Linked DNA regions of Saccharomyces cerevisiae S288C. The protein of the gene in region 1 interacts with the protein of each later gene in a biochemical or structural test. Each region holds a gene or a part of one and is shown on either strand. Other genes may lie near its edges. The genes, in order: ARO80 and SNF2.

Region 1 (16,100 bases):
ACATGCTCATTGATTCAGCTAGCGTTAGCCATGAGGAAGGTAACATTAACTTCGTGGCGGCAGCAACCTCGCATGCTCCCAACTCGCATACTCTTACCCAATCAACCTCTTCATATTCGATTAATCCAGATGAAATAGAACTAGATATTTGATATAAGCTATGTAAAATCATGCATCATTTTCGAAACCATAAGTTCTTTTTTGGTGCGGCCTTCTGCAATTACTGATTAAGTAGCAATTTTCCTTCAAACATCCGTGCACTGTGGATGTTTGGGTTGTGTATTTTGCTTTCATAACATACAGATATTTTGTTTAAGGAAGTGAAATAAACAATATCATAAAACAGGTACTTCATAGACCATAAAGCATAACCCAGATTATCCTCTTAGATAGCAATGCTAATGTAAACAGAGATCCGTTTGCGTGACTTTATACTAATATGATATGTCTACTTCGCTTTGTGTTCGAGCAGCCTGGCAGTCCCCTCTAGCCGCTTTTTTCCCTTTCCGAAGGTTTCCGCCTAAGCCCCCTGGCTCTAGGCCGAGAAAATGTTAATGCTCCTTCTACGAGAAAATGCTTGTCGCCACACCAGGACAGGTGCTCGACGACGCTTCCGCTAATCTTTCTCAATGTTGTATCTTCTTTGGCGGTACATTACTAGTATGAAAATGGAATAAAAACAGTACCTAAATTATTTACTTACTTCCCGTTAAAGCAACCCCAAGTGCCCAATAGAAGGATAAATCAATAGTCAATATGCCTCCAAAGTTTGATCCAAATGAAGTTAAGTACTTGTACTTGAGAGCTGTCGGTGGTGAAGTCGGTGCTTCCGCCGCCTTGGCTCCAAAGATCGGTCCATTGGGTTTATCCCCAAAGAAGGTTGGTGAAGATATCGCCAAGGCCACCAAGGAATTCAAAGGTATCAAAGTTACTGTCCAATTGAAAATCCAAAACAGACAAGCTGCTGCTTCTGTTGTTCCATCTGCTTCCTCTTTGGTCATTACTGCTTTGAAGGAACCACCAAGAGACAGAAAGAAGGATAAGAACGTCAAGCATAGCGGTAACATCCAATTGGATGAAATTATTGAAATTGCCAGACAAATGAGAGACAAATCCTTCGGTAGAACTTTGGCTTCCGTTACTAAGGAAATTTTGGGTACTGCTCAATCTGTCGGTTGTCGTGTTGATTTCAAGAACCCTCATGACATCATTGAAGGTATTAACGCTGGTGAAATTGAAATTCCAGAAAACTAAGGTTGTTTATAACATCAAAAATCCATTCCATATATTATTCTGTACTTTTAATTTAAAAGGCTTTAATCTAACATATAAACCAAAATATTTTACTTCACGTTATATTCTTTTTTTTTACTGTTGCAGCAAATTGTAGTCCGGCTGTGTTCAATCAACCGTCTACATGTTGAAATAGATATTTCCATCTATGAAATGGGCCAAATTGTTCATCGACGTAAATATCAGGCAGGTTTCTAGTATTTGACCCTTCTCTTTGCAAATTTTTTGTCTTGACATCCAAGCTTCCTGAAACCCATCTTTCACTTGCTTGTATTATTGTAGAATTATTTCAACGATACCACTCATAACTAAAAAGGCTATCCTTCTTTGCATGTAGCCAATGCATTGAAGTGTTGCTATTGTCCCCGTTCAGGCTCTGCAACTGGATAAAATATCTTATTATGGTGACGGATTAAAATTATTCAATTTAAAAATCCTTCTGCAAATACAAAAAGGAACTTTTGAGTTTTACGTATTCTTATGTATTAGAGTAGAGAATATTTTAAAATAATAAACTAAGATAGTGTGTATCAGTTGTTATTTTATATGTGGTTTATGTTCATTTTTTTTACTTCTCTTTCGTTAATTCCATTTTCATTAACTAAATATATATTTGCCTGAAAAACATTATGTGCATGGCCTTCTTTTCTAATTGAAAGGTTTACATACATCAATGGCATGATAGGATGTTGCAACTTTCAATCTAAACATGGTTGCCATATAAAATATTACTCTAAAAATGTACTAAGGATAAAATTAAACGCTACCTAATCCTGCCGATCATAGGATACCTATTGTATGTTCAAGAAGAAGAAAATAGGTTCAAATTAATAGTTCAATTTAAACTTCGAGTCCATTTTACAATATTAGTTTAATTTTGGGCAATTCTTATAATTTCGGATTAACTAAAGTACCTATATAATTATACCTTATCGCGGCGAAAAAAGTATAAACCACTTATTGTAGTCTTCTAGCGCAGGCCTGCTCATTTTTGAACGGCTTTGATAAAACAAGACAAAGCATGTCAAAATTTACTTGGAAGGAGTTGATTCAGCTTGGTTCCCCCAGTAAAGCATACGAGTCCTCCTTAGCATGTATCGCCCACATAGATATGAATGCCTTTTTTGCACAGGTTGAGCAGATGCGATGTGGCTTAAGCAAAGAAGATCCGGTAGTCTGCGTTCAGTGGAATTCCATTATTGCAGTCTCTTATGCAGCAAGAAAGTATGGTATATCAAGGATGGATACGATTCAGGAAGCACTAAAAAAATGTAGTAACCTCATACCGATCCATACAGCCGTTTTTAAAAAGGGAGAAGATTTTTGGCAATATCATGATGGATGTGGATCTTGGGTGCAGGATCCTGCAAAGCAGATAAGTGTGGAAGATCATAAAGTATCACTGGAACCATATAGGAGGGAAAGTCGCAAGGCGCTGAAGATTTTCAAAAGCGCATGTGATCTAGTCGAAAGGGCGAGTATTGATGAAGTATTTCTTGATTTGGGCCGGATTTGTTTCAATATGCTAATGTTTGATAATGAGTACGAGCTTACAGGCGACTTGAAACTGAAAGATGCATTAAGCAATATTCGTGAGGCTTTTATAGGGGGCAACTATGATATAAATTCCCATCTACCTCTTATACCCGAAAAGATAAAGTCTCTGAAGTTTGAAGGCGATGTTTTCAATCCAGAGGGCAGAGATCTGATCACAGATTGGGACGATGTAATACTTGCACTAGGATCTCAGGTATGCAAGGGTATCAGAGATAGCATAAAAGATATTCTCGGTTATACTACTTCGTGTGGTTTGTCTAGCACCAAAAATGTTTGCAAGTTGGCTTCTAATTACAAAAAACCTGATGCCCAAACAATTGTGAAAAATGATTGTTTATTAGATTTTTTAGATTGCGGAAAGTTTGAAATTACATCATTCTGGACCTTAGGCGGCGTTCTTGGCAAAGAACTAATTGACGTATTGGATCTTCCCCACGAAAACAGTATTAAACACATCAGAGAGACGTGGCCTGATAATGCTGGCCAGCTTAAGGAATTTTTAGATGCTAAAGTTAAGCAATCTGATTATGATCGCTCAACCAGCAATATCGACCCTTTGAAAACAGCAGATTTAGCAGAAAAGTTGTTTAAATTAAGTAGAGGCCGGTACGGTCTGCCCTTAAGTTCTCGCCCTGTTGTAAAAAGTATGATGTCAAACAAAAATCTTAGAGGAAAATCGTGCAATTCCATCGTGGACTGTATTTCTTGGCTTGAGGTCTTCTGCGCTGAGCTTACGTCCAGGATTCAGGATCTGGAACAGGAGTATAACAAGATCGTAATACCAAGAACAGTATCTATATCTTTAAAAACAAAATCCTACGAAGTATATCGAAAATCAGGTCCAGTTGCGTACAAGGGCATCAATTTCCAGAGTCACGAACTCCTAAAAGTAGGCATAAAATTTGTCACGGACCTTGATATTAAAGGAAAGAACAAAAGTTATTACCCTTTAACAAAACTAAGTATGACAATTACTAATTTCGATATTATAGATTTACAAAAAACTGTTGTAGATATGTTTGGCAATCAGGTCCATACTTTCAAAAGCTCAGCAGGCAAGGAAGATGAGGAAAAAACTACCAGCTCGAAAGCTGACGAGAAAACTCCGAAGTTGGAATGTTGTAAATACCAGGTGACTTTTACAGACCAGAAGGCTCTTCAAGAGCACGCAGACTATCATTTAGCATTGAAACTGTCGGAAGGCTTAAATGGTGCTGAAGAATCATCCAAAAACCTTTCTTTCGGGGAAAAAAGATTGTTGTTTTCACGGAAAAGACCAAACTCACAACATACTGCCACACCTCAGAAGAAACAAGTTACATCTTCCAAAAACATCTTATCATTTTTTACAAGAAAAAAATGACCTATTCCAAATAGACAATTATATGGCTTCAGCAACTAAAACGTCCTGATAATATTGCTTTTCCAAAATTTCTAAATGATTCACGGGCGCCAGGTTTTGTTGATAAGAAGAACGAAGTACCTTTAATATCTTATGATCGGAAAATACCGACTGATGACTTTTGAGACTTCGCTTTTGATCAAAGTGATAACATTATGTACAATATTCATACTAGGATTTCTTGATAGAGATTTGGAAGTCTATAAAAAAGAAACAACTTGTTATAATTTATTTTTGTAGACATGACTCACAGAATATTACATACCTTCATAATATATAAGATCCATGTGATAATGAATGCTGGAAGCATGATCTCTGACCTCAGCTGATTGTTCAGGGGACTTAATCAATTAGATGCGTTTAAAGCAGGAATTGGTTTGATACACACAATCTCATGTTACAAAGTAACGCTGTTTAAAAACAAATCTGAAGAATAATAATGCAAGTAATATTATACATCATAAAAAAGTTATACACTATCATTACTCTTCTGAAGACCAGATTACAATACAAATTAAGGCAACTTGGCCGAGTGGTTAAGGCGAAAGATTAGAAATCTTTTGGGCTTTGGCCCGCGCAGGTTCGAGTCCTGCAGTTGTCGTTATTTTTAATGTTTTTATTTGGTAGCAACAAAATTTGTCAGTCAATTTCTTTTGTTTTTTTCTTTAAAAGGTGTAACAACGTTATCACTCAAGTATTCGTTTCTTATTATCAAAAGTCTTAGACTTTCTATTAATAGCAGTTTGTTCTTTTCCACAACGCGCTAAAGATATTTCGCTTTCTGACCCGTTTGGTTGCAGAAAATTTTTTTAACTAATTTAGGAATATTTAGATTAGTTAATTGGAGGGCTTATTCAAAGACAGTAGTTACAGCGATTTAAAAGCAGTGTCCCTCGTAGGCACCTGTAGTCATTTCATTCGTTTGGATATTTCGCTGTACTGCTTCCTGCATTGTAATCAAGAGAAAGTTTACAACTTAGAGCACTAACTTTGTTTGTAAACATTTTCCGTTTATAATCAATTGCCATATCATCAATTTTATTATCATTCTTTAACCAGTAACTAACTGATTCCGCACCCACATTATTGAAATTTTTGCGATATCTTTTTCCTCAACTGACGCAGTCAACAGTCAGAAACAGAGAATGTATAAAGATGGTCTCATTGAAAATAAAAAAAATTTTACTCCTGGTGTCATTGTTAAATGCAATCGAGGCCTATAGTAACGATACAATATATTCAACTTCATACAATAATGGAATAGAAAGCACACCCTCATATTCAACATCCGCGATATCCAGTACCGGATCTAGCAACAAAGAGAATGCAATAACATCAAGCTCTGAAACCACCACAATGGCTGGCCAATATGGTGAAAGTGGAAGCACAACAATAATGGATGAACAAGAAACTGGTACGTCCAGCCAGTATATTAGTGTGACGACGACAACGCAAACTTCTGACACGATGTCATCAGTAAAAAAGTCTACGGAAATAGCGACACCAAGTAGTAGCATTGTACCCACCCCTTTGCAGTCCTATAGCGATGAATCACAAATATCACAAACGCTTAGTCACAATCCGAAGTCCGTGGCGGAGTCAGATAGCGATACAACCTCCTCGGAATCCTCAAGTAGCGTAATAATATCCACATCCGATAGTTCAGCGGTACCGAGGGAAATAAGTCCAATAATAACCACAGATTCTCAAATTTCCAAAGAAGAAGGCACATTGGCTCAAACTTCCAGTATCAGTGAAACAACGAGAATTGCACAAATGGTAACCAGAGTTTCACAAATCTCCAGCATAACGGCAGCTTCAACAATAGATGGCTTTAGTAGTGAATCAACACAAACAGATTTTTCCAACACTGTATCGTTTGAAAATTCAGTCGAAGAAGAATATGCCATGAGCAAATCCCAGCTCTCTGAAAGTTACAGTTCAAGTTCAACCGTCTATTCTGGAGGGGAGTCGACTGCAGACAAGACATCTAGCTCCCCCATTACCAGCTTTTCATCTTCTTATAGCCAAACAACGTCAACTGAAACCTCTGAGAGCAGCCGAGTGGCTGTTGGAGTATCCCGGCCCTCTAGCATAACGCAAACTACATCAATTGATAGTTTTAGTATGAGTGAAGTAGAGCTTTCCACATATTATGACTTAAGTGCTGGCAACTATCCTGACCAAGAACTGATTGTCGATCGCCCGGCCACTTCTTCCACTGCCGAAACATCTTCAGAGGCAAGTCAAGGTGTAAGCCGTGAATCTAACACTTTCGCAGTATCTTCGATTTCCACGACAAACTTTATAGTTAGCAGTGCTTCGGATACTGTTGTTTCAACTTCAAGCACCAATACAGTGCCATACAGCTCTGTCCATTCAACCTTTGTTCATGCGACTTCCTCGTCGACTTATATTTCTTCTTCCCTTTATTCTTCCCCATCCTTATCTGCATCCGTTTCCTCTCACTTTGGCGTTGCTCCTTTTCCATCTGCTTACATATCTTTCTCATCAGTACCCGTTGCAGTATCCTCGACGTACACGTCTTCACCATCGGCTTCTGTTGTAGTACCTTCTGCCTATGCGTCTTCACCATCAGTACCCGTTGCAGTATCCTCGACGTACACGTCTTCACCATCAGCACCTGCTGCAATATCCTCAACGTACACGTCTTCACCATCGGCACCTGTTGCAGTATCCTCGACGTACACGTCTTCACCATCGGCACCTGCTGCAATATCCTCAACGTACACGTCTTCACCATCGGCACCTGTTGCAGTATCCTCGACGTACACGTCTTCACCATCAGCACCTGCTGCAATATCCTCAACGTACACGTCTTCACCATCGGCACCTGTTGCAGTATCCTCGACGTACACGTCTTCACCATCAGCACCTGTTGCAATATCCTCAACGTACACGTCTTCACCATCGGTACCTGTTGCAGTATCCTCGACGTACACGTCTTCACCATCAGCACCTGCTGCAATATCCTCAACGTACACGTCTTCACCATCGGCACCCGTTGCAGTATCCTCGACGTACACGTCTTCACCATCAGCACCTGCTGCAATATCCTCAACGTACACGTCTTCACCATCAGTACCCGTTGCAGTATCCTCGACGTACACGTCTTCACCATCAGCACCTGCTGCAATATCCTCAACGTACACGTCTTCACCATCAGTACCCGTTGCAGTATCCTCGACGTACACGTCTTCACCATCAGCACCTGCTGCAATATCCTCAACGTACACGTCTTCACCATCGGCACCCGTTGCAGTATCCTCGACGTACACGTCTTCACCATCAGCACCTGCTGCAATATCCTCAACGTACACGTCTTCACCATCGGCACCCGTTGCAGTATCCTCGACGTACACGTCTTCACCATCAGCACCTGCTGCAATATCCTCAACGTACACGTCTTCACCATCGGCACCTGTTGCAGTATCCTCGACGTACACGTCTTCACCATCGGCTCTTGTTGTCCTGTCATCTACTTCCACATCCTCTCCATATGATATTGTTTACTCTCCATCAACTTTTGCTGCCATATCATCCGGTTACACGCCTTCACCTTCTGCTTCTGTCGCCATGTCATCTACTTCCTCATCCTCTCCATATGATATTGTTTACTCTCTATCATCTTCTGCTTCCAGATCGTCCATTGCTACATATGAATTTTCACCTTCCCCATCTACTTCTTTACCCACCTCTTCTACTTACACATACTTTTCATCTGCTTATGCGTTTGAATTTTCTTCTGAGCGGTACTCAACAACATCCACAATAGCACCAACTCAAATACATAGCACATTGTCCAGGATTACGGATTTCTTACTGCAGACTTCGATGGCAATCCAAAGTATAGTCTCTCAGCAAATTTCTACAAGCTCAACTTTAAATGACGAAATACATTCAAGCGCGCTTTCCGTTTTCAACCCTTCAGCTTCGAATTTGGTTGAAACTTCTCTGATAATTTCATCGACCCAAGCAAGCATAACAAGCCCCAAAAACTCAGCTAAAATTAGTTCACTACAGAGCCAGCTGTCTAGCAGTACAAAAAATCCATACGATACGGCGAACAAGAATACTGAGACCAGTGGCAGATCCACAGTTGTTTCGAATTTCCTATACACATCTTCCGCGGCGAAACCAGACAATGAAAAGTTTTCCGCTACTCCTACAGAGATAACTACAATTTCAAGTAGCTCGCACGCATATTCTTTATCTATTCCAAGTTCTCATAATTCTGTGACTGGACTATCACATAACTTTGTCGATTCGTCAAAAAGTGCAACCTCATTTGGCTACTCATCCTCATCAATATCTTCAATAAAACTTTCAAAAGAAACAATACCTGCAAGTAAATCTGTTTCAAACACACAAGAAAGAATCACAAGCTTTACATCAACATTACGAGCAAATAGTCAGTCTGAAAAATCCGAAGGGAGGAATTCTGTAGGTTCTTTACAAAGTTCACATATTTCATCTAACCCATCGCTCTCCACAAATACAAAGGTTGATTCGAAAAGTTTATCCAGGAAAGTATCGAAAACCATGGGCGAAAATGGCGAGGAAACCGGCTTAACCACAACAAAGACGCAATACAAAAGTTCTTCTGAAACCAGTGGGTCATATTCTCGGTCTTTTACAAAAATCTCAATTGGACCTGCTACGACTGCAGTTCAAACTCAGGCAAGCACTAATTCAGTATTCACAGCCCCTGCCTTGTCTACCTATCCTACTACTCCGTACCCCTCTCCAAATAGTTACGCATGGTTACCTACCGCTATTATAGTGGAATCATCCGAAACGGGCCCCACTACCGCATCATTCAATCCGTCAATCACTGGTTCACTTCCCAATGCAATTGAACCGGCCGTCGCTGTATCGGAACCCATTAACCACACTTTAATTACCATCGGATTCACGGCCGCTTTGAATTATGTATTTTTGGTTCAAAATCCATTATCTTCGGCTCAAATCTTCAACTTTTTACCTCTCGTTTTGAAGTATCCCTTTTCAAACACCTCATCAGAACTGGACAATAGTATTGGGGAATTATCCACTTTTATTCTTTCATACCGGTCTGGGAGCAGCACAACTACCCTTTCCCCAAAATCCATATCATCATTATCAGTTGTCAAGAAAAAAAAAAACCAGCAGAAAAAAAATGCCACGAAGTCAACCGAGGACTTACATCCTCCACAAGTCGACACATCCTCAATAGCGGTGAAAAAGATTGTTCCCATGGTAGACTCTTCTAAGGCATACATTGTATCAGTTGCAGAGGTATATTTTCCAACAGAAGCCGTAACATATCTTCAGCAATTAATCCTTGATGAAAATTCGACTCTTTATAGCAATCCTCAAACCCCACTGCGAAGTTTAGCTGGTCTAATAGATAGTGGGATCCCATTAGGGGGATTGACGTTATATGGCTCTGGAGATGGTGGTTATGTCCCTAGTTTAACCTCATCAAGCGTCTTGGATTCTTCAAAAGGAAATTCCCAAAACATAGATGGAACTTACAAGTATGGAGCTTTGGATGACTTTATCAATTCATTCACAGATTCTGCATCTGCAGGAAAGTATGCTGTAAAAATAATCATCTTTTTGATTGTTTTAACTATTGGCGTACTCTTGTGGTTATTCGTTGCATTTTTTGCTTTCCGTCATAGAAATATATTATTGAAAAGACACCCAAGGAACTGCATAGGGAAAAGCCTCAATAATGAGAGGGAACTTGAAAGTACCGAGCTTTCCCGCTCTTCTTCTGGAAACCAAGTTTATAATGAAAAGCCGCCAGAATCTGAAAATGAAAGTGTTTACTCTGCGGTAGATGATCATTATATTGTGACTGGCGAAAACACAGTCTATAATACTATTCACAGATTACATTATACCATTAATGATGACGGTGATCTATTGTACAGGGACGCAATCCCCCTCGATTTTGATCAAACCAATGGGGATGATGGTTCGGGAATAGACAGTATAGTAAGAGACTGCGTGTATGACAAAAACCAAGATGCTACGGAAGCCTTCTTGAATGATGAGGAGTCCATATCAGGCATTCTAGATGTTGATGAAAATGGTGATATTCGATTATACGACAGTTATTCTGACAATGAAGAGTCAAACAGTTTTCACTTGCCAGACGAAGTTATTGAAAACTATAACAAGAACCATTTGTGCGAAACTAAACTTCATGGACTAGGCACTGAATCATGTACTACAGATGATCCCGATACTGGAAATCAAATTACGAATGAGTTTTCTACAGGGAGTCAGACATGTTTGCCAAGTACCGCTTATACCACACCCCTTCATACAAATTCGATTAAACTTCACACATTACGCTACACAGAATCTTCACTACCAAAGCCAAATCAGACTCTTTTCTCTAATCTTGAAGATTTAGAAATAGAGGATATTGACGACAATGGTAGTGTTTCAGATGTACATATCGAGGAGCTGGATGCTTTAGACGAAGAACTTTATAAGAGAATGTCGAAAGTTATAAAACAACAGAACCATCAAACGACAAAAATATAGCGAAAAATGATTATTGACTGTGCAATAAACGCTGCTGGAAGGGGCGCTTGCAACAAAAGATGATCACAAAAATTGATACCCATTAATACACATAGGCTCACGCCATTACTATTATTATATATATCATCAAGTATTGCATTTGTAATTTTATGAGTCCTTCTTAGTAATACATGAAGGCTTTTTTTTAATATTTTCGGAATCAACGAGAGTACACTATTCTATCCGATGATAACCGAGATAAATGAAGATAGTAACTAACCAATGAAAAAAGAGCGAGAATAAATTAAAGCAATAATATCAAGTTAGTCGTGGGAATATATGATCCACGCATAATAAGGTTACATTAAGCACTGCTTTATCCTCTATGTCTGCTAAGAAAAGGCCTTCGGGAAACGCAGCATTTGAACTTCCAAAACGGAGAAGAACCTACCAAGCTTGCATCAGCTGCAGATCAAGGAAGGTGAAATGTGATCTTGGTCCGGTTGATAACCCACACGACCCACCGTGTGCACGTTGCAAAAGGGAGCTAAAAAAATGTATTTTTAGCTCTAATAAGGGAACTTCGAACGACTTGCCTCCTAATTCGATTAATGCAATAAGTCTGCCATCTCTAGGTAAGAGTAAGCAAGAGATACAAAATGACTCAACGAGCCCAATTTTATCGGATGTACCTTTGTCAAGAAAAGGGATTAGCAGTGAAAAATCATTTAAATCAGAAGGGATGAAGTGGAAGCTTGAACTTTCCTCCATGCAGAACGCCCTAGAGTTTCTGGCCCAAGCTGCTGGAACTGTAGCAAAAGAAGGCGCAAAAGAAATCATAAAAGAGAAGTCCACAACACCGAAACCACTGAAAAGTTCTTTGGATGCGACAAATAAATCTGCTACGGACGAGGGGTTGAAACGACTTTCAAAAAGTGACAGTACTAACACACTTTACGAAAATACAGCAGATATGCTTAACCACACGCTGAATACGAATAGGAAAACATCACAATTAATGGAAGAAATCGGGAAAGTGAGACCTCCACCTACCCGGAAAATTGACGACTTCGATTACATCGGTCCAGATAGCTTGCTTACTAAAGAGGAGGCGATTGAACTCATAGAGGCATTTTTTCTCACGATGCACCCATTCTTTCCCAATATCCCACTTCAATTGCATGATCCGAAAGAATTAGCAGAATATCCAATTTTGTTTTGTGCAATTTTGACTGTTTCTGCTCGCTATCATCCTTTCGATACTTTAGGATTAGACAATGGAGAAGATGGGATGAGACACATTGAAGTTCACGATAAATTATGGGTGTATTGCCAGAAGCTTATATCTCAAACAATTTGGGCAGAGGCTAGTACTAGGTCAATTGGCACCGTGCTTGCTTTCATAATTTTCACGGAATGGAACCCAAGGAGTATCCACTATAAATGGTCTGACTATGCAAATGATCCTGAGTTAAATAATGTCAACGCTAGAGGAAGTAAGAATATTAGTACGAGGAAGGACGAAGAAGGATTGACCGGTGTCGGCGCAATCCGTAGAAGCGACCGAATGTCATGGATGCTGACAGGGTCTGCAGTAAGGCTGGCGCAAGATATGGGATTCATTGAAAACAGCTCAAAAGTATTCATTGTCACTCATATATCTGAGACTACCAGTGCTATGAATATGAATCAAAGATCCTTATTAGCAGAATCATTCAGCGTTTTAAACTTGAATTTAGGAAAAATTGAAAACGATGGAAATGAAAGCAATGAGGATTACCTTGGGAATGAAAAATTTTATCTGAATGAGATTTTGCCTGATGAAGAAAGTAAACTAAGGTGGAAGAGAGTTTTTGAAAACTCAGAAAATGACCACGACAACGAGAAAAATTTTTTGACTGATTGGGAGAGGGAGTTTTTAAACGATGAGTATGTTCTATATTATTCTAATAAAAAAGATGATACTAATCTAGCACAGAATCACATACCACCATTTCCACTAAGATTCTCATTCGCCCAAAGAGCAAAAATAGAGATCATTCGAATCCTATCCATAGCATATGAGACGATTTACTGTGAGAAGAATAAGAGGAAATTGGCAACGACAGATCAGAGACACAACCTCTCTGTCCTAAGTGTTTTTTCTCCCTTGATAGAGGGCTGGCTCAGTAACTACAGAGAGCTTCTTGTACCCCTTTCTGATGTCCCTTTCTCACTAGCAGATAGGAAGAACAAAAAACAAATATTTGATAACATCGATAGAATAAATGGTGAAAGTATTATCACAGATTTCAATTATTGTCAACTTTATATCTTTTCCCTCGCACTGCAAGTGGATGGGAAAACAAGCAGATTGAATATGAATGAAATTGTGACAAGCGCGAGGTATGTGGAATTAGCATACAGATCTGCAAAAGAAATATTGAGTTCTGCAAAGCGAGTTTCAAGGCAAGGAATGCTAAAATACATGCCCGTAAGATGGGTAATACGAATAATTAGATCCATTGCGTTCATAGTAAAATGCTACCTAACACTTACTGGTAGTGAACTGGCAACAAATCCAGATGCCAGAAACATTTTAAAATTAAGTGCAATATCGGTTGACGAAACATTCGATATCATCCGTGACACTGCGGTTACTTTGAAAGAAGCTACACCAGATGAATTACATCTATGTCAAAGATACGCAGCCATATTAATGTACTTATGTACAGAGATGAAACTTCGAAAAAAATCTTACTTAGAACGACCACCCTTATTAAGAGATGGCACCACTCCTCTAGAGAGCAATCGCGAATCCTCACTGGAGGGACAAGACTTAACTAAGAAGCCAATATTCTCTAAACGTATTGGATATAATAAAACCGAGACTACTTTTGAACCCTCGGAAAGGCCTTTGACGGAGGAAATTAATAGCAATTCTCAGAATTCAAATGATACATCTTCTAAAGGTATCGTTGATCCTTTTGTTGAACAAAACAACGATATCACAACAGCGTTACTGAACAATGAACTCTTCCAAGGTCCATCTCTATCTGACGAGGTTACAGATTGGTTCGGTGCTAGTGAAGATATCGGGCTTGAATTTGTAGAACCATGGACAGAACTTATTGAGCAACGATATATGCAATGTGGAGATGGTGATAATAATAATTTCGAAAATTTATACAACTTGTTCGTGAATAGTAATAACATCAATAATGATATTAATAACTCAAGGCCAATAACGCGTAAATAAGTAGATATCAAAGAATTACGTCATCAACCAAGACAACCGCACTATTCGTAAAAATGATTTTAAATACAAAGACAGAATAACAGGGGAAGATGGAGGTATATAATAATGCGAATGCTTCATAATACTATGACTGGTTTTCCATTGGGCATATGAGATGATTTTACGGCTCAATCACTACTTATATATGATTTCTATAACAAAGCAGGCCATTACACATTAGGAACGGCTATCTATTACATAAGAATATGCAGCAAATTCGTTGGATATGTTAAAGTATATTCCACGCATGCTGAGAAGTGGATTGCCAGAAACGTGACGTGAAATACCTACTAGAACAAAAAAAAAAGGAATGCAAACGTTCTAGGAGCCATAGGAATCAAAAAGAAAAAAATTGAATTAATAGAGTTCGTGAGAATCATTGCGAATTGAGATTCTAATTACTGATCTGAGACTTTTGTGTTTTATAATAACAAGGTGCATAAACTACTTGAGTGATAAATTTCCCCTCATATCTAGTAGTGCAAGCTACGCTGATTATTTCATCTCTAATACTGCTTGTCAGTAAATGGTTCAAATTCACGTGGGGTATAATATGATTTATCGCACCTTCATCCCTCTCATGTGATTCTGAATTCTGATTGCTTTGGTTTAGTATTCTGTTCAGATAGGATGAATTCAGGTATATGGGCAAGTCAGGAACTGGGTATCTACTTAGAAAAACCGCCTCTGCTGTTTCTGCATCAATATTACCGCCTTGCTGTAAAGTAGCAAATAAATCATCTTGATTACAGTCAACAACTCTATGTGTAAAGCTGGGAGGTTCTTGGGGATGCACGTCATCAGAATCTCCTTTTACAGAAATCGTAGAGCCGTCACCTATATTAAATAAATTTGGTATTTCGTTCGAATACACCAACCTCTCAGGCTTGACCTCGGCCATCAAATCCAAACTGCTAGCCTTCAGACGTACAAATGAGTCACGCATATTTATTGAACTGGACCTACTTAAGCCTCTATAATCTGAAAACGGTGTACTTGGCCTTTCAACACCCTTAGCAGAATAGTAGGAAGATTTTCGAGAGGAAGAAGGAAATCTTTTAAGTTCCGGTCTCTTGGGCAATTCTTCATCCAGTGTTGGCTCTACTTGCGAGTCGATGTCTGCTTCGTTTCTAAATGGCTCGATCGTATGATAACCGGGCAATACTTCAAACCAGTTGACAAAATTGCCTTCTGAATCCGTAGCTGTAGGAAGAAAATTTGAGTGAGTCAATATACCATTGATGGAGAATTGCAGTCTATAAATTCCTGCAGGCAAAAAAAGATCTGGAACAAACCATTCCTTATGCACATCATCATAAACCATGCGGATCCTAGGATTTAACTGTTTTTCTGAGTCTAAACTTGCATTCTCATCCAAGGTAAGCTCTCTTTGCTCTTTAAGAGCAGAAGCAATATCCGTGCTTACTATAAAGACTTCCGTGGTTGCAGCCACGGTACCATCGTCTTTCCATTTTAGAACAACTAAAGTATTTTCGGTGGAGTTTGTTGATGATATTGAAGACATACTCGACATGGAATTAGAGTGATGCGATATTTCTCTATGCTGCGGTGCAGAGTATTGACTTTCATTGTCGTTAATAATTGGATGTAGTGGATGCAAAGGCTGCAAATTCAAACCGTTTGTTAAGATACTCTTTCTTGATTGTAAAGAATGCAAAGAAGCAAATGAGGATCTTCTCGAATTTGAAACCGACCTTATTTTTTTATTCTGGGCTTTCTTTGTCTTATTATGGTGCTTATTTAAATCTCTTTCCATCAAGGTCTTATCACCGTACAGTTTCATCATCATTTTTGCAGTAGCAGATATAGGTGCGGTAAAATCGTCGTTGGAGCCTCCCGCGTTTCCCTTGTTACGGGTGTTATTTTCAATATTTCCATTGTTATTAGCGTGGCTTATCCTTTCTGCAGTATACATTGAATTAGAGGAATTCACCCTTGAAAGACGTTGCATATCCTTTTTTAAAGCATTTTGTAAAAGAGACTGGTTCAAAACCATATCTTCACTTT
Region 2 (16,100 bases), on another chromosome or scaffold:
AAATCAATGTACAGGAATTGGAAATCTCCCAAATTAGAACCACGGCTGTAAAGTATAGTAATAGTGATGAATTGGATGGCAGAGTACAAACTCATGTACTGGAAACATGCAAAAGATGTAACTAACGCAGCACGCCCTTCCCTAATGACATCAAGTACGCAGCTAATATTAAATATCTTTGAAGTGAACGGAGCAGCAACTGAAGCTTCAGCCTCCGAAAGGGAAATACCTACGTCTGCCGCTTTGAGTGCCCCACAATCATTTGCACCATCACCACAGAACCCAACTGTATAATCTAGCTTCTGCAGCTGTATCATCAATTCATGCTTTTCATCAGGCGACATTCTTGCGTAGATTGATGAATTCAATAAAATCTCGTTTAAGTATTCCTCTGGTATCTCGTTTTCATCTCTGAACAACAGTCTAAATACATCGCCGCTAACTGCAAGAGTATAGTTACACTCACGTAGACTTTCAACACTATTATTCCCCAGCTTGACAGGTTTCAAAGTCTTGGTATCCAAAATTTTATCTGGCTCATTGACGTCCCTCCATACTATTACGGGCTCACCGTGCAAGGGTGTATCATTAATGGATGGAACATAAACGCGAGAGCATTGTATCAAACCAGCTTCCCTACCTACGGAAATAGCAGTAAGTATGTTATCACCCGTACACATTATCGTCCTGATGTTTGCATCTTGTAAACTTTTCAGAGTTTCAGAGGTCTCTTTTTTTAGTTTATTTTGGAAGATAATGAAACCTAAAAATTCCAAATTTGACTCAACCTCTTCCCTAGATACTTTTTGGGAATATAACCAAGTTCTTTTTGGAAGTGTCTTCCCAGCACATGCAATAACCCTATATCCGTTATGAGTGTAACAACGTAGTACTTCTTCAAAATCTGCAGGTAAAGTTGATTTATTACATATTTCTGAAATAACTTCGGGCGCACCTTTAGTAAACGACCAATATACGTCGTCATTATTCGTTTTAACAATTACGCTCATACGTCTCAGCTCAGATAAAAATTCAAAGCTTCTCACCACCCCTAGAAAATTATGAGGATCATTATCAGTAAACGTATTTTCTCTATTATTACTATCAGGGTGAACTACCGCAGGAATGATTTCTGAATTTTCTGGGAAAACATCATCTTCATGTCTTCCCTCGTATAATGAATGGAATGCTCGTTTTTGGAAGTCCTCCTCGAATGACCAACCGGTAAATTGAAACATTTTAAAGTCTAGTGGGTCACCGAGTAAATTTCCATCAACTGATCTCAGCGAGTGACATGTTAATAATGACATGAAAAAGTTCCTGGACTTAAAATCTAATGGCGAACTACAATCGTTCAAAGAAAATTTAGGAAATACTTGGCGAATATCACTCAATAGTTCTCCAAACTTCTGGCCTCTAACCCCATTTGGCTCCGATATTTGTACTCCAAGTACATCTAAGCCATCTTCGGTAAGTGTTCCAGTTTTATCAAAACACATAACATCGATTTTACCACTAATGTTAAGCCTTGTTGGAGAGATACAAAATATTCCCTTCTCCTTTAACCTACTCAAAGCAAAATTGGTACCAATGGTTAAAGTCGCGGGCAGAGCTGGTGGCACTACAATTGTTATGATATCTAAAGCTCTTAATATCATTGTCTTTTTGTCTAAACCAAGTTTAATGAACTGAACGCAACTGACGCAAAAACCGAAAATTGCGATTAATGACATGAATCCAATATATTTAAAGGAATCTCTATAGAATTTAAAACCAGTTGGTTTTGGGAAAACCATGGAACGAACCAAGGAGCCCTTTGTTGTTGAGAATCCTGTCCTTACAACCATCGCCAAAGCGGCGGTTTGCCCGGGGGCAATTCTTGCTCTAATTATATTTGTACCATTATACAAGAAGGATTTGGAAACAAAACTCGATATTTGGGTGCTCTGGAAGTCGTCACATAATTGGTACATTGTTTCTTCCGTAGCTGGAAATTTCGAAACGGGCACAGATTCACCAGTTAGCATGGATTCATTGACTATACAATCACTGGACAGAAGAATAGAGTCACAAGGCAATATTGTTATATTTGGGTCAGATACTTCATATATATCGCCCGGAACTAGTTCTGATGAGCTTATCGTTGTCCAAAACTTATCCCTCAAAACACGAACGTCACAATGAAAGTGCGACATTTCAGCTAAGTTTCTCGATACTTTCTTCTGTTCATTCAATGAATCAAAAATAGACAGTACAGAAATCAAAAAAATGCATGCGGCGTAGTAGTAGTATTCATCAATGCCCCACAAAATTATCGAAAATACTTGAAAGACATAAAACGGATGCAACACTTCATTGAATAAAATTTCTGAAGTAGTTTTCATTCTCAAATTAATTTGATTTTTACCAAACGCAAGTTCTCTATCTTCTTGAACCCCCTTAGTTAAACCATTTGATACGGTACTTAAATCCACCCAGTCAGGATCTATCCAGTTATTGTTAGTTTTAAAGAGATCATCGAGCGGTGAATATATGAACTTAATATATCTGTATTCAAATGTGATCAAGATAGGCACATTTGGATTAATTTCATTGGCATGGTGGTGGCTCAAATTGATATCATTTGGTTCATATGACGGATTAGGGTAATTTTCAAAAGGTAAAACAGTACTTAATGGTCTATTATACCACTGTCGATCGATAGGTTGTATGACAAACTCACCAAACTCATTTTCTATCACGACCCATTCTGCTTTAGCCAATGGCACTTTCACGCCATATAATTTAACTTTGAGATGGGGAAGCCATCTCGTTAAAAGATAAACTAATCCGAAAGTCAAGAAGCAGCACAGGTTGTAAATAATATACCAGAATTTTGAGGTCTGGTAAGCAGCGATACCAATAACTAAATCCTCTTCCGCAATGTAAAACCTTTGGTAATGCAAGTTTGGTGCATACTGTGGATAAAACTTTTCATGATAGTCAGGTTTTAGATATTCGCTATGCTGATTATGAACATCATCATGACCAGAAAAGCTTCCTCTATTATTTTCGCTTGCAGATCGCCTACTATCTGAAGATTCTAAAGAATGTGTAGAAGACTCGTCTTCTAGTATTTCATCTGTTTGACTTTCTAGTTCAATAGGAATTCTTTCTCTGGTCGTATATCTCGATAAACTGGATGATGAATGTGTAGCGGAATGATAAACGAACCCAGTGTCAGAATTTTCTCCCAGCCTTTGTGGTGCCCTTGAACCAGAGCGACCCCTCTTACTGAAAGATCCATAAGACTTTGCATTTGAGAGAGATGATGCTCTGGAAAAACTTCGAATAGAAGAACGCCTGGAAGATAGGCCCGTACCATAGATTCTATCTTGTTCATAAGCGGGGGTGGCATCCCAGGCCATGTCATAATCTGTATTTTCTAACGTGGAAGCGCCTTCAGCATTGGATATTTGCTCCTGAGTGAAAAATCGAAAATGAGAAGGGTTTCTAGAAGAGCTTCGAGACTGTTCAGCCGAGGATAATACTAAAGGCTCTGATTCAGTCAATCGGCGGCCTCTCTGCTCTAGGTTCCCTGAAGAATGCGGACTTGGGAGGTTGCTTGATTGAAAAGAATGAGGGTGATGGAATGATACAATAGAACTTGGCACGGCTTCGAATGTTGCACCTGCGTACGGTTCCGAATTGTTCTGATCCAGTACCATCGCGGAAGTCAATGTGGCCGCCGTAGAAGTAGTGGCTGTAGAAGAAAAAGAAGCCCTCGGCATTCTTCGGTTCCTTTCACTCCTTTGGCCATGTTGAATTTGGTTTGAAGAGGGAATATCCATTACCGGAGTATATGCAAGATCTATCAGTAAGTCTGGGCTCCTTTTTATTTTAAAGAAGAATCTATTGACTCTGAACTATTTTCAATCAAAAATAAATTCACAAGTCCAACACCTCCAACTCTATGGTATTGCGTTCTCTTTTTGCCCTTTTTTCCTTTTTTTCTTTTTTTCACTACTCTTTCCTTGATTTCCATTTTTTTTCATTTTTCACTCTTCTATCACCTCTTCATACCCATACCCCCTGTTGGCCGCGGCTGCCCTAAATACACACATATATATATATAAAACAAACAAGGCATTTTTCAAATTAATAAAACTAATAAAAAAAGCTATAGAGCCTTTTCTTAGAACACAGTGTTGAAATATTCGCTTTTTTCTTTTTATTGAAACTCCTTCACTTCCAAAAAGACACGATTCTTAATGGCTATTCTGAGTGAACATAAGGACACTAAGAACTAACAAGTAATTGAAAAAAAAAGAAGAAGACATGATGAAGAAGAATTAGTGAGCAAAATACAGTTGAAGTTCCTAACGCTTATTTTCCTTGCAGATTAATTCCAATACATTCGCCACTATTGGAATTTTGCAGGTAGCCAATTTTCGCGTATATATACTAGGTTTAGGAAAAATAGCCGCCGGTAAAAATAGTGATAGGCTGTTACCCGAATACCGTTGTTCGCGATATGTTAAAACCGCGTTTGAAAGACAAATATCAACAAATTGATTGACGAAACGGGGCCATCCTGAGGCGGTAGGACAATAAGTTAAAAGAAAGGTTACCTCTAGTCTCAATAAAGAAGATATTTGTGACGTACGTGGACCTTTTGTATATAAATCATCGGGAAGGTCAGCTATTCTGTTGTTTCTCTAATCGCGACTTTCTGCTATTTTCACGACTTTCGATTAATTATCTGCCATGAACATACCACAGCGTCAATTTAGCAACGAAGAGGTCAACCGCTGCTATTTAAGATGGCAGCATTTGAGAAATGAACACGGAATGAACGCTCCGAGTGTGCCGGAATTTATCTATTTGACTAAAGTGTTGCAATTTGCTGCCAAGCAGCGACAAGAATTACAAATGCAACGCCAACAGCAAGGCATTTCAGGTTCTCAGCAAAATATTGTTCCAAATTCTTCAGATCAAGCAGAACTGCCGAATAATGCTTCCTCGCACATTTCTGCTTCTGCTTCCCCGCATTTAGCTCCGAATATGCAATTGAATGGAAATGAGACCTTTAGCACTTCTGCTCATCAATCACCAATCATGCAAACACAGATGCCATTAAATAGCAATGGTGGTAATAACATGCTACCACAACGGCAATCTTCGGTTGGTTCATTAAATGCAACTAATTTTTCACCAACACCAGCAAACAATGGAGAAAATGCTGCGGAGAAACCAGATAACTCAAACCATAATAACTTAAACCTTAATAATTCCGAGCTTCAACCGCAAAATCGATCATTACAAGAACACAACATACAGGATTCAAATGTGATGCCAGGTTCGCAGATAAATTCTCCTATGCCCCAGCAGGCGCAGATGCAGCAGGCACAATTCCAAGCACAACAGGCGCAACAAGCGCAACAGGCACAACAGGCACAACAAGCACAAGCGAGACTGCAACAGGGGAGAAGATTACCCATGACAATGTTTACTGCCGAGCAATCCGAACTGTTAAAGGCCCAAATCACATCTCTAAAATGTCTAGTAAATAGAAAGCCTATTCCGTTTGAATTTCAGGCTGTTATCCAAAAATCTATTAACCATCCTCCAGATTTCAAAAGAATGTTACTGTCTTTGAGTGAGTTTGCGAGAAGAAGACAACCCACAGATCAAAATAACCAATCAAATCTCAATGGCGGCAACAATACGCAGCAACCCGGCACCAATTCCCACTACAATAACACTAACACTGACAACGTTTCTGGGCTTACCAGAAATGCACCTTTAGATAGCAAAGACGAAAATTTTGCATCTGTTTCACCAGCTGGTCCATCTAGTGTACATAATGCGAAGAATGGCACCCTCGATAAAAATTCGCAAACTGTAAGTGGCACTCCAATCACGCAAACAGAATCGAAAAAAGAGGAAAACGAAACCATTTCAAACGTAGCTAAAACAGCTCCTAATAGTAATAAGACCCACACCGAGCAAAATAACCCGCCAAAACCGCAGAAACCCGTTCCTTTAAACGTCCTTCAAGATCAATATAAGGAAGGAATAAAAGTGGTAGATATAGATGATCCTGATATGATGGTTGATTCTTTTACGATGCCCAATATCTCACATAGTAATATCGATTATCAGACTTTATTGGCCAATTCGGATCATGCAAAGTTTACTATTGAACCTGGCGTTCTACCGGTTGGTATTGACACACATACCGCTACTGACATTTACCAAACTTTAATTGCATTGAACCTAGATACTACGGTAAATGACTGTTTGGATAAGCTACTAAATGACGAATGTACGGAATCAACCAGGGAAAATGCTCTTTACGATTACTACGCCTTACAATTATTACCGTTACAAAAAGCCGTAAGAGGTCATGTATTACAATTTGAATGGCATCAAAATTCTTTATTAACCAATACACATCCAAATTTTCTTTCGAAAATAAGAAACATCAACGTTCAAGATGCATTGCTAACAAACCAACTTTATAAGAATCATGAATTACTTAAGTTAGAAAGGAAGAAGACTGAGGCAGTGGCCAGATTAAAGTCGATGAATAAATCCGCCATCAATCAATATAATAGAAGACAAGATAAAAAGAATAAAAGGTTGAAGTTTGGCCATAGACTCATTGCTACGCATACTAATTTAGAAAGGGATGAGCAAAAGAGAGCTGAAAAAAAGGCAAAAGAACGTTTACAGGCTTTAAAGGCGAACGATGAGGAAGCCTATATAAAATTATTAGACCAAACCAAAGATACAAGAATTACACATCTTCTAAGGCAAACAAACGCATTTTTAGATTCTTTAACAAGAGCCGTGAAAGATCAACAAAAGTACACTAAAGAAATGATTGATTCCCACATAAAGGAAGCATCGGAGGAAGTGGATGATTTGTCCATGGTCCCCAAGATGAAGGATGAAGAATATGATGACGACGACGACAATTCTAACGTCGATTATTACAATGTCGCACATAGAATTAAAGAAGATATCAAGAAGCAGCCTTCAATATTGGTTGGTGGTACCTTAAAGGACTATCAAATCAAGGGTTTACAGTGGATGGTTTCGCTTTTCAATAATCATTTAAATGGTATTTTAGCAGACGAAATGGGTCTTGGTAAGACTATCCAGACGATATCCTTACTTACATATTTATATGAAATGAAGAATATTCGTGGGCCATATTTAGTCATTGTTCCTTTATCTACACTGTCAAATTGGAGCAGTGAATTCGCGAAATGGGCTCCTACCTTAAGAACTATATCATTTAAAGGTTCGCCAAATGAGAGGAAAGCCAAACAGGCTAAAATAAGGGCAGGTGAATTTGATGTAGTTCTGACTACCTTTGAGTATATTATTAAAGAAAGAGCACTTTTATCCAAGGTCAAGTGGGTCCATATGATTATTGATGAAGGCCATAGAATGAAAAATGCGCAATCCAAGCTTTCTTTAACCTTGAACACACATTACCATGCAGATTATAGATTAATTTTGACAGGTACACCACTTCAAAACAACTTGCCAGAATTATGGGCCTTATTGAATTTTGTGTTACCCAAGATTTTCAATTCCGTGAAATCTTTTGATGAATGGTTCAATACACCCTTTGCCAACACCGGTGGGCAAGATAAAATTGAGTTGAGTGAAGAAGAGACGCTTTTGGTTATCAGGAGATTGCATAAAGTCTTGAGACCCTTTTTATTGCGTCGTTTGAAAAAGGATGTAGAAAAAGAATTACCGGATAAAGTTGAGAAGGTAGTGAAGTGCAAAATGAGCGCTTTACAACAAATTATGTACCAACAAATGTTGAAATATCGTCGTCTTTTTATCGGTGATCAAAATAATAAGAAAATGGTAGGTTTAAGAGGTTTCAATAATCAAATCATGCAACTAAAGAAAATCTGTAATCATCCTTTTGTATTTGAAGAAGTTGAGGACCAAATCAATCCAACAAGAGAAACGAATGATGATATTTGGCGTGTTGCTGGTAAATTTGAACTATTAGATAGAATTTTGCCTAAGCTTAAGGCAACTGGGCATAGAGTATTAATTTTTTTTCAAATGACCCAAATTATGGATATTATGGAAGATTTTTTAAGGTACATTAATATCAAGTACCTGAGGTTAGATGGTCATACAAAATCTGATGAACGTAGTGAGTTGTTACGTCTATTTAACGCCCCTGATTCTGAATACTTGTGCTTTATCTTATCAACTAGAGCGGGTGGTTTGGGTTTAAATTTACAAACTGCAGACACTGTCATTATTTTTGATACTGACTGGAATCCTCATCAAGATTTGCAAGCTCAGGATAGAGCGCATAGAATAGGTCAGAAGAATGAAGTTAGAATTCTAAGATTGATTACTACGAATTCAGTTGAAGAAGTTATCCTAGAGAGAGCCTACAAGAAGCTAGATATCGATGGTAAAGTCATTCAAGCAGGTAAATTCGATAACAAATCTACATCGGAGGAACAAGAAGCGTTGCTTAGATCTTTGCTGGATGCAGAAGAGGAACGTAGAAAGAAAAGAGAGTCTGGTGTTGAAGAAGAAGAGGAGTTAAAAGACTCAGAAATCAACGAAATTCTTGCTCGAAATGACGAAGAAATGGCTGTTCTTACAAGGATGGATGAAGATAGATCAAAGAAGGAGGAAGAATTGGGAGTAAAGAGCCGTCTCTTAGAAAAGAGTGAATTACCTGATATTTACAGTAGAGATATTGGTGCCGAGCTCAAACGTGAAGAATCAGAATCTGCTGCTGTTTACAATGGAAGGGGTGCAAGAGAACGTAAGACGGCAACTTACAACGATAATATGTCTGAAGAACAGTGGTTAAGACAATTTGAAGTTAGCGATGATGAAAAAAATGACAAGCAGGCAAGAAAACAACGAACAAAGAAGGAAGATAAGAGCGAGGCGATTGATGGGAATGGAGAAATTAAAGGCGAAAACATTGACGCTGATAATGACGGTCCTAGAATTAATAATATATCGGCCGAAGATCGGGCAGATACGGATTTGGCAATGAATGACGATGATTTCTTGTCTAAAAAGAGAAAGGCAGGAAGGCCCCGTGGAAGACCTAAGAAAGTGAAACTTGAAGGATCTGAAAATTCTGAACCACCAGCGCTTGAATCAAGTCCAGTTACTGGCGATAACTCTCCCAGTGAGGATTTTATGGACATTCCAAAACCACGTACAGCGGGAAAAACATCTGTTAAATCAGCAAGAACTTCAACAAGGGGCCGTGGTCGCGGTCGTGGTCGTGGTCGAGGGCGAGGACGTGGACGAGGAAGGCCGCCAAAAGCAAGAAATGGGCTTGATTATGTCCGCACGCCCGCTGCGGCAACGAGTCCTATTGATATTAGAGAGAAAGTTGCTAAACAAGCTCTAGACTTATACCACTTTGCTCTCAATTATGAAAATGAAGCTGGAAGGAAACTTTCTGACATTTTCCTCTCCAAACCTTCCAAAGCACTATATCCCGACTACTATATGATTATTAAGTACCCTGTCGCCTTTGATAATATTAACACGCATATTGAAACGCTAGCTTACAACTCCCTTAAAGAGACCCTTCAAGACTTTCATCTGATATTTTCCAATGCTAGGATATACAATACTGAGGGTTCAGTAGTATACGAAGACTCTTTAGAACTGGAAAAAGTGGTTACGAAGAAATACTGTGAGATAATGGGCGATAACTCACAACTCGACTTTACTGAATTTGATGAACAGTATGGCACCAGACCCCTCGTCTTGCCTCCTGTTGTTACTTCAAGCGTGGCTGAATCTTTCACAGATGAAGCGGACTCGAGCATGACAGAAGCGAGTGTATAGTACCTTCCTAAAGCAATATAAGTACTTATTCGTTTATACGTAGACAAACATTAATCCCTCTTTTTTTTATTGTACCCATTAACCGAGTTGGGATGTTTAATATCTCTAGTATAACGTGCCGTATATTTCCTATATATATATATATATATATTTATATATATTAGATTTTAAGTTAATTGTTCAACTAATTGATCGATTTCGCCTCTTATAATTCTGCTATACATATTTATTTTAAACCATCTCTTTGAACAAAGTAATATGTCGTCATCATAGTGAACTTGTTCTTGGACCTAATTATAAATTTTCCAATACGGAACAAATTATTTGTTCCAACACCCTGCTAGCAACACAGGGCAATATATATAAAGAAGATATATCTACTACTTCTTTTCCTTGAGTATATGTCTTTAATAGATATTTCATGTATTTGATTCATCTTTAATGGAAATACTCGGAGATTATATACAGGTCCGAGATGGCCTTAAAGATATTTCCCACAAATGTATTTACCACTCATTAGAAATGAGTTTCTGTTGTATTACGGGCTCGAGTAATACCGGAGTGTCTTGACAATCCTAATATAACAGTCTTAGGGAAGTAACCAGTTGTCAAAACAGTTTATCAGATTAATTCACGGAATGTTACTTATCTTATATATTATATAAAATATGAATCATACTAAGTGGTGGAAGCGCGGAATCTCGGATCTAAACTAATTGTTCAGGCATTTATACTTTTGGGTAGTTCAGCTAAGGAAGGACGGGTTTTGTCTCATGTTGTTCGCTTTGTTATAAGGTTGTTTCATATGTGTTTTATGAACGTTCAGGATGACGTATTGTCATACTGACATATCTCATTTTGAGATACAACAGTTTCAACAGTCATCAGGGCACATGGCGCAGTTGGTAGCGCGCTTCCCTTGCAAGGAAGAGGTCATCGGTTCGATTCCGGTTGCGTCCAATTTTTAAGCTTGATCAATGTATAAAAGCATATTTTTTTTAATGTTTCTAAGACTAACTAACGAGGGTTATTTTCTAAGCCTCTATATCTTTTAACTGTTTGTTAAATTCCTCATAAGTTATGGAACTTTTTTTGCCCTCGTACCTTATTACTTCAATGAAATAAGTTTCAAAATTATCCATTACTTCACTAATATTGCCCCAGTAACCCGCCTTCTCGATTAAATTGGCAAAGGTATCTTCTTTATTCCAATGTTGCTCAGGCATAACATCAGGTAAAAAGGTTGCGCTACATGTGGTGCCTGTTTTGGGATGCTTAAAATACAGTTCAATACCGTGCTTTCCGAGTTCCCAATCGAAAATGTCCCCATTTGGATTACCACCACCTCGAAAAATAGTTTTGAAGTTGCCTAAGATGTTGCAACTGCATTTCAGGTCCACCAATTCCCTTTTCTGGATCGGAGAAAATCTCCTATCCTCTAAAGCAGCAATCAAGGAATATTTCTCAATACCATGTGCAATCGGCATCTTAGCAAATGTACCGATACATCCTCTAAGTATATAATTCTCTTCGTTAGTGTCTATTGTGTGATGTTTATTGGACTTTTTCTTCCAAGTTATGAACAACGAAGTTTTCTCATTGTAATCTATTTTAAAGTCGGGGTATAGCCTTCTTCTAATATCTTCTAAAGAAAGGCTGCTCGATTTCCCCGGATTCAAGTGCGAATAAAGTTGATAAAATGCGTAAAACGCAAATGGCGATGAACCTTTAGGGCCTTCCATTGATATCTTTGCAAAAAAACTGGATTTTCGAAATAGCCTTAAAGCCATTACTATCGCACAAGCCAAAAACCATCTTTTCAAAGGATCTTATCTGGATACAAATTGACGCAAATTTCTCTTTATATTCCTCCTTTGTCGCCCAGTGTCATGTGCTTATCCCTTGAAAAAAGGGCCGTTGTTCGAGCCTTGCGAGGCGTATAAAAATTTGGTAAAAATTAAAATTGACACGTAAAAGTTAAATAACATGAAGAGAAATATCTTTTCGCAGTCATTTTCAACAGTAAGCATCCACTTAACACAATTAGGAGAGACAAAATTTGACATATAATGTTATTTCTTAATATTATTAAGCTCCTTTTGGGACTTTTTATTATGAATGAAGTAAAGGCGCAAAACTTTTACGATTCCGATCCTCATATATCAGAGTTAACGCCAAAAAGCTTCGATAAAGCGATCCATAACACAAATTACACATCATTAGTGGAATTTTATGCTCCGTGGTGCGGCCATTGTAAGAAGCTCTCTAGTACGTTCCGCAAGGCAGCAAAAAGATTGGATGGTGTAGTCCAAGTTGCTGCTGTAAACTGTGACCTTAACAAGAATAAGGCTTTGTGTGCTAAATACGACGTAAACGGATTTCCCACGTTAATGGTATTTAGGCCCCCAAAAATTGACCTATCTAAGCCAATAGATAACGCCAAAAAAAGTTTCAGCGCTCATGCCAATGAAGTGTACTCAGGTGCAAGAACTCTCGCGCCTATTGTTGATTTTTCTCTTTCAAGAATAAGGTCATATGTCAAAAAGTTTGTCCGTATAGATACACTTGGCTCTTTACTTAGAAAGTCACCCAAACTTTCCGTGGTGTTGTTTTCCAAACAAGACAAAATTTCACCGGTTTATAAAAGCATTGCCCTTGATTGGTTAGGAAAGTTCGATTTTTATTCAATTTCAAACAAAAAACTCAAGCAACTAACCGATATGAACCCAACATATGAAAAAACTCCTGAGATTTTCAAATATTTGCAGAAGGTCATTCCTGAACAGCGACAGAGCGATAAAAGTAAGCTTGTCGTTTTTGATGCAGACAAAGATAAATTTTGGGAGTATGAAGGGAACTCAATCAACAAAAATGACATTTCCAAATTTCTGCGGGACACTTTTAGTATTACCCCCAATGAGGGTCCTTTTAGTAGACGTTCTGAATATATTGCTTACTTAAAAACTGGCAAGAAGCCAATTAAAAAGAACCATTCCTCCTCAGGAAACAAGCACGACGAATTGTAGTGGTACGTTTCCTCATTCAATGATTATCTAATTAAACACAACATATGTATCTATATAGTCCACTAACTGATGGCATGGACGTTTACTTTTATTTGCAATAATAACTTTTATCTGAGCGGTTAAATACCGAAAGACACGTTTATTACCCGCTTTGAAAATTTTCAACCGATGAGCTTGCCTTTCTACCGGAAAACTGGGGCATAAGAATAAGTACTAAATAGTATAATTAAATTGCCATCCAAAAATTGTATAGAGGGTCAATAAGCACTAGAAGGTTAAAAATGTCGTATTACTTTAAAAATCTGAAGCCAGACTTGAACTCCGACGTAGAAGAAGATGACGGAAACTTATTGGAGAGCATAATGGCGAACAAAAGTAAGCGAGAAATTGACGAACAAGAATCAAGTGACGATGAGTTGAAAACCTTGTCTTTTGGTTCTTTGAAGAAGGCTGAAACGGTAATAGATGAAGAAGATTTCAAAGATACGAAACCCGTTCACAAAAAACCGATCACAACTACATACAGAGAAGAAAGTTTTGATGAAGATGAGGACAGTGAGGACCAATCAGACGAGGATGCTGGATTCTTTGAAGAAGATAGTGAGGATGAAACTCATCATGGTCAGAAAGTACCAAAAAAGAAGAGCAAACACGCTCCAGTAGAACAATCATCCAAGAAAAGGGTACCACGAGTCCGAAATATCCCTGGGCTGGAAATACCGAGGAATAAAAGGTCTAACCTCTATCAGGACATCAGATTTGATAAGTCCACCGGTAAAGCCCTTGATAGTTCTATCATAAGAAAACGTTACCAGTTCTTGGACGAATATAGAGAAAAAGAAATTGATGAACTGCAGAAGCTGTTACAAGAAAGAAAATTTCTATCAAAAATAGACCAGGGAGAACGTGAAGAAATGGAACAAAGACTGAAAAGTATGAAATCGAGATTGCAATCAATGAAAAACAAAGATCTCGAGCGTGAAATTCTCAAGGAATACGAAAATGATATGAATAAAAACAATAATACGAGATACCATTTGAAAAAGTCTGAGAAACGTAAAGTGGTGCAAAAGTGGAAATTTGATCACATGAAGGCCAAGCAACGTGAAAAGGTCATGGAAAGGAAAAGGAAGAAGAGATTGGGTAAAGAGTTTAAACAATTTGAATTTCATAATCGTAGGTAGAGTATTTAAGCAAAAGAATGCACATTAAAGTAATATATAGAGAAAGATAAAAAAATAAACGCACACATAAACTAATGGAAGTAAGAGGTTATCCGCGAACCACAAGGAGAAAATCGAATGAATCGGAGAGGTGACAACAAAAAATTTGAAATACACAAAAGGTTGTCTATATACAGGATATATCGATTATACTTGTTTCTTTTTGGCTTATTTTTTGGGCTTAACGTCAGCACCACCTTTAGCTAACCACTCAGTAATAGAACCAGGATAGATACCAGTGTTTTCGTACCCATAAGATCGAGCCAACTCTTCGGCAGTTTTGGCTCTTACTCCTTTCGCACAAAGAAAAATCAATTCTTTATCGTGAGGTGGTTTAGCAAATTGGAAAACTTTGTGAAACTCCTTTTCGGGCAATCCAAGAGCGCCAGGGGCACTATTCACCGGAATATTTATTGTAGTTGGCATCTTGTAATCCTTTACTTCCTTGGGTTCCCTTACATCTACCAATAGTTTTTTATCATTGGGGTGTTCGACTAGGTTCCTGACCTGGTCAAAAGTATAGATCTTTGGAGCCTTCGTTGTAAATGTTCTCAGGACCAATGTAGGCGATCTTGCAGAAACTGTCCTCGAGAGAATACCTGTACTATGCTTGAACATCGTTGGTCTTTTTCTTCTGTCTCGCTTCCATTTGTTGAGAGTTATCGCTATCTTATTCCATTCAGATTAAGTTTTGTATTTTTTTTTTTATACTTCCTAATTTCTTTGCGCCGCCGCTATCACAGCCAATGCAATAGGCAAATATTATGAACGGTGTGACATAAATGGCATAATACGTTACTAGCTTACGAAAATACACAGGGTACATACCTAGAGTATACAAGGCTATAAGTCAAGTTTATCACCCCCATGAGAAACCCAATCATTCATAGAGCCAGGATATAGTGAGGTGTTTGAATATCCATGTGAGGAGGCGACTTTTTGAGCTTCTCCCCCGCGTTTGCCAGAAGCACAATAAAATATTAGCTCCTTGGCACTGTCAGGTTTTGGGATGCCAATCTGTTTCTCAAATTCTAAAGGATCTAAGGCAAATGCGTCAGGGTGCGATCTATATGGCACATTGATGGAAGCAGGAATATGAACAATCGAGTACTCAGATGGTTCTCTAACATCTACCAAAACCACATTAGGATCATGCTTTCCAACGATTCTTTTCATGTCTTCAAAACTGTAAGATTGAATATTTGAAACATTCTTACTTTGACTCTCGGTTCCATTCCAAGCATTCATCACGGCCTTCCACATTTTAATATCGTTTCTTAGTCACAAACCCTGAAAATAAACGAGAAAGAATTCTTTGATTGATTAAGCCTCCACTCTCTTTTATACACCTCAAAAATTCTCCCCTTACTTCCTTCCCCGCGGGTAATAATATTCTCCAAAAAAAATACAAAAGCAATCAGATGTAACTTATATAGGTTCCAAGATAAATAACAAATTATTTGTCATTGCAAGTAGGAAAAGGACATACCGTAGGTGATATCTGGATTTGGGCCTTATGGAAGCCAATCTTAGTAGTAATTCGTCCATATGTCTACCAAAGGGGATAACAAAAAAGTACAACTACAAATTTTTCACACAGTGTCCCGTTAATTTCATATACTCAATATGCTGCGTTTAATCAAGAAAAATTCTGATATTTTGCGACAGAAGGTGTCCCTGGAAAGCGCTTAGTATGCTGTATGATCTTTGAAGTACAATGCACAGGGAAATAAATCACCATATCTGACGATCATCTTGCTAGTTTCTAAGTTCGGAACATCTTGTCTATGCGCCAATAAAACTAGTTTTACATCGTACAGAAACACTGTCCACTTAGAACTGGACACTTGTTTGCCCAGTATAGTTCTGATACTATTATTATGTATAATTCCCTCAATATTAAGCACTTTATGCAAACGTGTTGGCCCATTGAGGCATTGATATACGGCAAGTAATAGCACCTTTTGCTTCTTACCTTTATCAATTTGGAAAT

The links.
Region 2: the proteins of ARO80 (region 1) and SNF2 form a complex in vitro, tested with the Saccharomyces cerevisiae proteins (one study listed by BioGRID).

Annotation. Positions count from the first base shown.
Region 1 is NC_001136.10:1,300,860-1,316,959, forward strand, and holds ARO80 (Aro80p), read left to right. Parts: upstream 1-11,180; coding exon 11,181-14,033; downstream 14,034-16,100. Other genes in the region: mRNA splicing protein SYF1, read left to right, coding at 1-152; 60S ribosomal protein uL11 RPL12B, read left to right, coding at 757-1,254; RAD30 (DNA-directed DNA polymerase eta), read left to right, coding at 2,315-4,213; HKR1 (Hkr1p), read left to right, coding at 5,408-10,816; SIP1 (Sip1p), read right to left, coding at 14,467-16,100.
Region 2 is NC_001147.6:848,905-865,004, reverse strand, and holds SNF2 (SWI/SNF catalytic subunit SNF2), read left to right. Parts: upstream 1-4,746; coding exon 4,747-9,858; downstream 9,859-16,100. Other genes in the region: YPK9 (putative acid anhydride hydrolase), read right to left, coding at 1-3,830; YOR289W (uncharacterized protein), read right to left, coding at 10,893-11,648; protein disulfide isomerase MPD1, read left to right, coding at 11,928-12,884; rRNA-processing protein RRP36, read left to right, coding at 13,166-14,068; thiosulfate sulfurtransferase RDL2, read right to left, coding at 14,276-14,725; thiosulfate sulfurtransferase RDL1, read right to left, coding at 14,951-15,370; HUA2 (Hua2p), read right to left, coding at 15,796-16,100. UniProt on the Saccharomyces cerevisiae protein: Involved in transcriptional activation. Catalytic component of the SWI/SNF complex, an ATP-dependent chromatin-remodeling complex, which is required for the positive and negative regulation of gene expression of a large number of genes.